Linked DNA regions of Saccharomyces cerevisiae S288C. The protein of the gene in region 2 interacts with the protein of the main gene of each other region in a pairwise test. Each region holds a gene or a part of one and is shown on either strand. Other genes may lie near its edges. The genes, in order: BTT1, TYE7 and ARR1.

Region 1 (2,824 bases), on a different chromosome or scaffold from region 2:
TTATTAGAAAGGATGAGAACACAGCGTTAACTCGCGTTGATGATTTACAAAACAGTATCGCACTTAAAGATGGAAAAATCATGCAGCTGCAAAATTCGGAATCAACCCTGAAAAATGAGATAAAAGAACTTCAAAGTCAAGTTTTGAGCTTAAAACAAGAAGTGTCCTCAAGTAAAGCAAATAATGGACAAGAGTTGGAAATTTTAAAGAAGAAAGTGCAAATGGGAGACAATTCATTATTTGATCGCCCAAATAGTAATACTAATGGTATATCTCCCTCTGATAACATTGTTGATGTTGATTTAAATTACGAAAGGAGTGACCAAGGTAATAATAGTAGTGGTAATGATAGCAGAAGACAATCTTTTTTCAACTCCACATCTGATACAACATTATCCAGAGATGAAACCTCGTTGAAAGAGCGTGAGTTAGAAGTACGAATGAAGGAATTAGAACTTCAAGAGCGTGAGTTAGAGTTACAGAGAAAAGCCCTCCAGCAACAACAACAATATCAACAGAGACCGCCTAAGCAAGTATACTCCGGTCCTTCTGGTACACCAACCAGCGGCAATAACAATAATAAAAGTTACAATCCAAATAGAAAATCTTCCTATAGTCAGCCTCAACATGTGGCTATGATGACCAGCAGAGGTCTACATGGTCCTAGCGCTGCAAGCTCTAGCCCTGTCATTTCTGCCAACAATTTTGTTGATCCAGTTTCTTCTGGGACGCCATATAGCAGCAATAGTTCTCGATTTAGTCAGCAAATTCCATCGCAGCAATACATGCATACTGTTAAGCCAACGAGTAGAAAAAACAGAAGTAGTGTCATGCCTAATATAGGTTACGTCCCAGGGCTAACCAATAACGAGTATGGTAGAAAGTTTAACGGTAATGGTATGAATGGTACCCAAAGCCGTCTGAATTCACTTTCAAACCAAAGTACGTTTAGATCTCAACAGGGTCCACCGATAACACAGCAAAAATCGTTTCAAAATAACGGTGGTAGCATGAGGACAAATCGCATACCATCTGCAAATTACAATATTTCAAATCAGCAATCGGGTTTTGTTAACTCTATTTCAAGTCCAAATCTAAGCAATTTGGAGAATAGAAACACAGTACAAAACAGTAGAAATGCGGATTCTGCTCCGTGCGTTAATCAATTGAACAGTGACTCTCCGCCCCAATTACAGTCTCTATCTCAAAACGGTACCTCAAAAGTTCCTCAGATCAATATTACGCAACCATCACCAATTCAGACCAACTTTGCTACGAGTGATAACCCTGCTGCTGTAATAAAACTAGGGACACCTTCTGAAGATACAGTTTCAGCTGCGGCAACAGCCAATAATATAAGTACAATGGGAGATGAAAGCCGCAAAGAGGACGTTAAGGAAAAAAAGAAGAAAAAGTTCAGTTTCTTTGGAAAAAGGAAAAAGTAACAAATACGCGAGCCCTTGTCTTTCCAATCCAAATAATCCGTTTTTGTTAATGATATGTTATATTTTATCTACTTATACATTTTATCTAAAACACTTTCTATTTGGTTAATGACCAACGAGGAAGTTTGTAGCTTCAACACAACTTTAGATCATGTAATAAACGGCATATGCTTTTAAATGCTTTGTTTTGTTTTTTTCTTTTTTTCCCGCTGTGACAGAAACAATTAAGTTGCGTTAAAAAGGTTCCCTGATAGAAATAAATACGGCTAAATTAAATAAACTACTACATAATCCTACAACATCAAATGCCTGTAGATCAAGAAAAATTAGCTAAGCTGCACAAGTTATCAGCAGCAAACAAAGTTGGTGGTACCAGAAGGAAAATAAACAAGAAAGGTAATTTATATAATAACAATGACAAGGATAATACCAAGTTACAAGCTGAACTTCATAAACTGCATCCAATGACCATTGAAAACGTTGCCGAAGCAAATTTTTTCAAAAAGAATGGCAAGGTTTTACATTTTAACAGTGCAGTTGTACAGATTGCCCCTCAATGCAATCTCACAATGATTCATGGCCAACCGAAAGAGAATACACTTAATGGGCTGTATCCGAGCGTAGCCTCTCAATTAGGTAGCCAAGAACTTGAGTATTTGACAGGTTTGGCTCATAACCTAGAAAATGAACAGACGGTGCTCGACCAGCTGGGCGACAGATGCAGCGAGACAAAACAACAAGTGATGAATAGCTGACATAGTTCATAATAATTGCCAGTAAACGTTATAGCTAGTGGCGAATGTCGAAGTGGAAATGCTATCACATTAATGTTGCAGATGAATATATATTTTCTTATTTGAGAAGATACACGCTATTTACTCTTTCAGCCATTACTGCTACCATTGTGGTTGTTATCTTGACGATGAACGATGTTGGATTGCTTGACTTTTTTCAGTAATTCATTGATACCCTCACCACCCGCAGTTAGTAATTTAGTCCTGTTTCTCCTACATGTCAGTGTATCATAATGTCTTTTCAATGCATCTTTCCTTGCAAAACCTTTGCCACATTGAGGACAAATGTTAGGCAATATGGCGAAGTGTGTCTTTTCGTGCCTTCTCAAATCTGATGATCTTGAAAATTCCAACGAACATTTCGCACATTTAAATCTTTTTTCACCAGTACTATTTCTACGATCTTGGGGTTTGCTTTTGCTGGACTTCGGTGGTTTTGGTAATGCGTTTTCCTTTTTAACCTTTATGTTACCGCCTTGACTATTTATATCAACACCATTTTCTGCCGGTATGAGTGCTGGTTTTTTATTTTGTAACCTGTTTTGCCTATTCCTTACCCTTTCTAATAACTCTTTTATTATAGGA
Region 2 (3,298 bases):
AATGCTGTAAATATATGTTTCGTACTTAGTTTAGTTATGGCGTGACATAATAACGGGTTGTGAATGTAATGAATAGAAAAGGCCGTAATAAGATAATAAAATAAAATAAATGAGAAAAGTTTGAGAAGAGTTCGTTCGTATAAATCATTAAGGTGTATGTGTTTGTTGAAATAAAAAAAATTGATTTTTTTTTATTTTTTCGGTTTTGGCATACATATCCGTCCGTAGCTGAAACGGAATTTCGTCATGTCTTGTGCTTTCTTGGCTATGAACCACGCGTCATTAATGTGTATAAAGGAGGAATAAAATTAGAATTTTTTTTGAATAATACGAAATAGAAAAGAAAAAGGTATGAAAAGTGCGCATCACGATTTATCATCCTTCTTTAGTGGGGATTTTTTTTTTTTATCTTTTTGTATGTTTTTTCCAACTTCTTTTTTTTTTTTGTATTCTTGTCTGCTATGTTATGGCCTTGTTATTTTTTGGGCTTGTTTTTTAAAGTACTTCGCTAAGAAAGAAAAAAATGTCGCATAAACAAAAGAGGAGAAAGGAATTTCTATCGTAATTTTATAATATTGGTGTTTAAGCAAGCGTGCTTTTATTTTTGGTCTTGTTTCAAAGTGTCGATTTCACTTTTCAACCTTTGAACTTCCATTTCGTATAGTCGTTCGTTATTTTGTAGATATAGAATATAGTCAACAGCTTTTTCTAGGATCATGCTTTTATTTAGCTTCGTGCTTGTAGCAGCGGCAGATGGAAGAGGAGTAGTAGCGGCAGTTTCTGCGCCGTCTTCGTCCTGTTTTTTTACAGAATCACCTACTTCGAAAGCTGTTTGTTCACTTGCTACCCATGGGATAATCTGCTGCAGTCTTGCAATCTTTGTGTTGATGTTTATTCTGTAGCGTTTTTCAATCTTGTTGTGAGCTTGCTTTTGGAAGGGGGTCAGTCTTTTTCTTGGAGCCCTCTTTTTCGTTTCCTTAGCATCTAGATTTGTTTTTATAAACGAGTCGTTTAGCTCGATTTCATTCTTAAGTGGGGTACTATCGTCATTATTATCAGTATTTATCATGTTAGGCATTAATTGCAAAGAAGCCGGTTCAAAATCTGCCAACGAAAGGGCATTGTCATCCTCTTCTCTTTTTATCGAGCTGCTAACCTCGGGAGAATGCGAGTATGAGGAAGGATTACTGAAAAACTGATCTGTTGGAAAAAGAGCAGATTCCTCGTTGTTGGAAGATATAAACTGGTCTTCGATTGGAGAGCCTATCGAGGAGCTGGATGCAGAGGAGATAATGTTTTCCAATGGTTCGAACCATGTGGAAGAAGATGCAGAAAGAACTGACGAGGAGTCCTTGTTGACGTTGATATGACTAGCTCCGTCATTTTCATCCGACAACCAATTATCAAATTCAGATTCAGGTTTAATTAAAGTAGTTTCGCTAGATCTAACATTTCTGTCTAAAATAGAGTTCATAATTGTTAAACTTGAAGAGATTTGATAGTGTGTTATTTGTCTTTATTTTTATTTTTGCACTAAAAGTTTATGAAGTGAACAAAAAAAAAAAATAATAGTAAAGTAGAGAGACTTTAGATCGGTACTGCTTGTGGTGCTTTACGCTTAATAAGAAAGAAAATGAGAAAAGAGAGAAATATGTAAAGAATAAAGGTTGATGGTTGGGAAATATAAAATAAGGATGTAATTAAGATAGCTTTACTTTCCCATGAATTGATATATGAAGTGAAAAAGGATGTAAATAAGTTTAAATTTTGGAGATAACAAAAGAAGTTTATATAAGTACATTTGATTGTTGAGGTGAGAAAAAAAAAGGAAACAGAGGTGAAAAAAATTAATAGCAAACGTTGCGTTTTGCATTTCTACTAAGAATGGAAATGTCGCAGACACGGTATCATCTACACTGTGAAAAAGAAATGAAAATGAGAATTGTTATTTGGCGAACTGTGAACGTGCGCAGGGCAGAATCCCATTGTACGGTTCGTACGTGGGCACAATGAATTACTACTAGGGTAAGAAATGACCGCAGCAGCATGAACATTCTAGAACAAAATTTGATTCCTTACCGAATGGAGAGAGGCCACGTTGTTAGGGGAGTAACAGCGCAATGAAGTGAGCTCAATCCCACTCCAGAAGGGCTTGTGTACGGCCGGAACTGGGCTAAGCAGTATCCGCGGGTGAAAGTCAAGGTCAGCTTGTTCCGGTTTCAAAAGGAAGATTTTCCGGGATACCTCTGGGTGTAACATTCAGATGCGTGCGTCATTTATTCTCTACCCATGTGGTGCCTGCCAGATCCGGTAAGTACCGCCCAGCATAGCGTATACACAAGGATGAATGGGTTCTACGACACCGCGGTTTAAGGAAGTTGCCGCATTTGGCATGGTGTGGTGATGTCTCTTTTCCTAAACCAGACTGAGACAGGTTTATTTCACCGATTTTTTTTTGCTTTGGCATAATAGAATGTCCAAGAAGGGTATTTTACTATCTTACACGTGTTTGTAACATAAACGACAATTTTGTAGCACAACTAGGGCATGTCAGTCTGAGTCGTATTAGCGCCCTCCCCCTTACTTCAACAGTATCGTAGGATTGGCATTGCATATACGCCGATTTTAGCGTTGTTAATTGATCATTGCTGGCTTGCCACGTGATGGCAATAGGCTTTCTCTCGTGCTCGACCCCTAATGTCAGTTCAAGCAGGGAACGTGCCAAACATGGCTAGTGCATTTTTTACGTAAGCCGCAAAGAGGTTCCTCTTTTCTTAGTGTTTCGCCCTACTGATAAGAATGTGAAAAAGTAAACGATAAGATTAATATAATTAAAAAATGTTTCAATTCTAGACATCGTACCCACAAAGGCTGCCCATATCATATCGTAATACAGATCCGCTTTTCAGATTACATCCGATTTTCAGACTGAAAAGCAGCATAGCGGCAGTATGATGAATACAAGCGCGCTTATCTGTCGCTCTTCTTACTTGGAAAGGGAATCATATTACCCGGCAGGGCGCTGACGGGAGCCGCATTAAATAAGCATACGAAAATCATCAAGGTTATCGGCATTTAATTTTTTAGAGGCTTCTTTATATCCCATAGTTAGATTATTCAATCAAAAGGTTGTAAATGCCTATTAAGTTGCCTCTTGTCATGGTCCCATATTCCCTGAGGCATTCCTGCCAAGAATAATGGATTTCTTTCATGCATAATTATTGAGTATTTGAATCATCTACATCGCACCCAAAGAAATTTGATATCGTATAATTCAGCATATTATTATATACTGTGT
Region 3 (3,055 bases), on a different chromosome or scaffold from region 2:
TGGTATGCCGAGAAAAACTCCGACAGACTTTGCAACCTCTTCGAATAATACCCTATTTGAAGTATTCAGGTGGTCATGAGAAATAACATAACAGTAAAATATCTGCAATGGTGCATATAATACCATCTGTAAAAGCGAGTTTGTAATAACAAGCACGACGCAGAGATCATTGTCTCCTCCAGCAATCTGATTCCAAATTAGCACCATGGCAATGCATCTAGCTACTCCGATCATAATAATGCCTTGACGGTATTCCTTATAATCGAATAGCGCCATCCACGCCAATGCTGTCATCAACAAAGGACCGATGACCCAATTCAAAAATAACGAGAGGGCTAGTTGCTTCCTTATATAGCTCCTGTAGAAGTACTTGTGAATAGACTCCCAGGAAACTTTGCAGATCGGGGGAATCATCATTACAATCATACCAACAGTCAAAGGAATGGACACTCCCATTAGATTGGGATGACCTTCAGCGTCAAAAGTGTGACGGGAAGAAGGCACATAGACAGAAATTATTACTGCAATGATTATGGAGAGAATTATAGTAAATGGCAACATCAAGTCAAGCCATGACAATGACTTGATCGTAGTCAGTATATCGGTGCGATTCACCATATTAACCTTAGAAGGTACCGAATTTTCACTTTTTTGATCTTCTGACATTATTCTACTAACCTGATGATTTGTTGGTTGGGTTCTCTTGAATTACAACGAGAGCATTCATTTATATTCTTTTCCGTTTACATTATAATTATGTAAGGAGCGTTGCCGCTAAAGTTGATTATTAATCAAACAAAAAGATAATTAAGAGCATTCAAAATTTGATTTTAAATCAACACTTTTGAAAAGTCGGTATAAAAACTAATGTATAACAAACTAATATTGAGGAAAACTTGACAATCCAGCAAGCGTAATGGTAAGTTTCATAACGTCTAGGCAACTCAAGGGCCTAATTGAAAATCAGAGGAAGGATTTTCAAGTTGTTGATCTTCGAAGAGAAGATTTTGCACGTGATCATATTACAAACGCTTGGCATGTTCCAGTAACAGCACAGATTACAGAGAAGCAACTGAATCAATTAATTAAAGGTTTATCCGATACTTTCTCAAGTTCTCAATTCGTCAAAGTGATATTTCATTGTACTGGGTCCAAGAATAGGGGACCAAAAGTAGCTGCTAAATTCGAAACCTACTTACAAGAAGAAGATATTACAAGTAAGTTTGAGAGTTGCATCCTCGTTGGAGGTTTTTACGCTTGGGAGACCCATTGTAGAGAGAGTAACCTTAAATTGATTGTTAGTGGTTGAGCTCCTCAAGCTTTATTGTTCCAGCATTAATGTAAAAGTCTTTTCAATATTTTATGTACGGCAAAACTTTTTAATTCCATTTTTTTTTTTTTTTTCGTTTCTTTTCTTATTAAATTAAATATAATTATAATTATAATATTCCTATCTTTACAAAATCATATTAGTATATAATTCTAGCATGCGGATGGTCTTTAAGGAGCGGCCGTTGAAAAAACATGTCAAAACGGAAGATAAGTGACCAAGATAATGGCAAAACCGCGTGGAAGAAAAGGCGGCAGGAAGCCTTCACTTACTCCACCTAAAAATAAGAGAGCTGCGCAACTTAGAGCATCCCAAAACGCATTTAGAAAACGAAAGTTGGAAAGATTAGAAGAACTAGAGAAGAAAGAAGCTCAGCTAACGGTAACAAATGATCAAATTCACATATTAAAGAAGGAAAATGAACTTCTCCATTTTATGTTGAGGAGTCTTTTGACTGAGAGGAACATGCCTTCTGATGAACGGAACATTAGTAAGGCCTGTTGTGAAGAAAAACCGCCCACATGTAACACTCTCGATGGTAGTGTGGTTCTTTCCTCCACATATAATTCCCTTGAAATACAACAATGCTACGTATTTTTCAAGCAACTGCTCTCAGTGTGTGTTGGAAAGAATTGTACAGTGCCGTCACCGTTGAATTCCTTTGATCGGTCCTTCTATCCCATAGGCTGTACGAATCTCTCAAATGACATACCAGGCTATTCTTTTCTAAATGATGCAATGAGTGAGATTCATACGTTTGGTGACTTTAATGGGGAACTTGATAGTACCTTTTTGGAGTTTAGTGGGACTGAAATAAAGGAGCCAAATAATTTCATTACTGAAAACACTAATGCAATAGAAACAGCGGCAGCGAGCATGGTGATTAGGCAGGGTTTCCATCCAAGACAGTATTATACAGTGGATGCTTTTGGAGGGGACGTCCTATTAAGTGCGATGGATATTTGGAGTTTTATGAAAGTGCATCCAAAGGTTAACACATTTGACCTTGAAATTTTGGGAACAGAACTTAAGAAAAGTGCTACGTGTTCTAATTTTGATATTTTAATTAGCCTCAAGCATTTCATTAAGGTCTTTTCGTCAAAATTATAATATTCTTCCTGTAAGCACAGCGCAACATTGTCTTTCTTATTGTTAATATATAAGTTAAAAGCCGAATTTTTCATTTATTTATATAGATGGCGTGAAGATTATTACGGTCAGATACCTTCGCCTATTTATGTACTTGCATGCGTTTAGATTTTATTGGAAAAAGTATTAATTTATCGTCTATCGACTAGTATTCACGTTACTAGTATATTCTGTATAGTTAATGATAGAGCCTTTATTTAAAATGGAAGTCCAATAACTATTTCAAAATCAAATTATATGTCAAAGATGTTCAACAAATTGGGAAGGCAAGAGGCGAGCACTAGGCCTGATACCCTTCTTAATGCCTTGACATACACGTGTCTATTTCTTTTTTCTTGTCGAGGTATTGAGGTATTGACCAATGCTGAATGCTTGATAATGTAATTAGGGATCGCGTACGACAAGTTTCAGCAATTGTTAGGGTGTTATTTTCATTGTTCCCGATTATGAGCACAATATGGCGGTCTTGTACTAGGATAACTTGGGCGTATGTTTCACTATACTAGAACCATGATTTTATCAGTGTAGAACAAATGCTGAAACTTTGATTCAAATACAAACATTTACTAAAACACT

Evidence for each region.
Region 1: the proteins of TYE7 (region 2) and BTT1 interact in a two-hybrid assay, tested with the Saccharomyces cerevisiae proteins (one large-scale study listed by BioGRID).
Region 3: the proteins of TYE7 (region 2) and ARR1 interact in a two-hybrid assay, tested with the Saccharomyces cerevisiae proteins (one large-scale study listed by BioGRID).

The regions. Positions count from the first base shown.
Region 1 is NC_001136.10:961,662-964,485, forward strand, and holds BTT1 (CCR4-NOT core subunit BTT1), read left to right. Parts: upstream 1-1,750; coding exon 1,751-2,200; downstream 2,201-2,824. Other genes in the region: PAM1 (Pam1p), read left to right, coding at 1-1,445; MET32 (Met32p), read right to left, coding at 2,329-2,824. UniProt on the Saccharomyces cerevisiae protein: Acts as a component of the nascent polypeptide-associated complex (NAC), which promotes mitochondrial protein import by enhancing productive ribosome interactions with the outer mitochondrial membrane.
Region 2 is NC_001147.6:976,596-979,893, forward strand, and holds TYE7 (Tye7p), read right to left. Parts: upstream 1,475-3,298; coding exon 599-1,474; downstream 1-598. UniProt on the Saccharomyces cerevisiae protein: Transcriptional activator of glycolytic gene expression, such as enolase genes (ENO1 and ENO2), glyceraldehyde-3-phosphate dehydrogenase gene (TDH), phosphoglycerate kinase (PGK1), phosphoglycerate mutase (PGM1), pyruvate kinase (PYK1) and triosephosphate isomerase (TPI1) genes.
Region 3 is NC_001148.4:937,533-940,587, reverse strand, and holds ARR1 (Arr1p), read left to right. Parts: upstream 1-1,555; coding exon 1,556-2,440; downstream 2,441-3,055. Other genes in the region: ARR3 (Arr3p), read right to left, coding at 1-666; ARR2 (Arr2p), read left to right, coding at 917-1,309. UniProt on the Saccharomyces cerevisiae protein: Transcription activator required for resistance to arsenic compounds and for a regulated expression of ACR2, ACR3 and YCF1.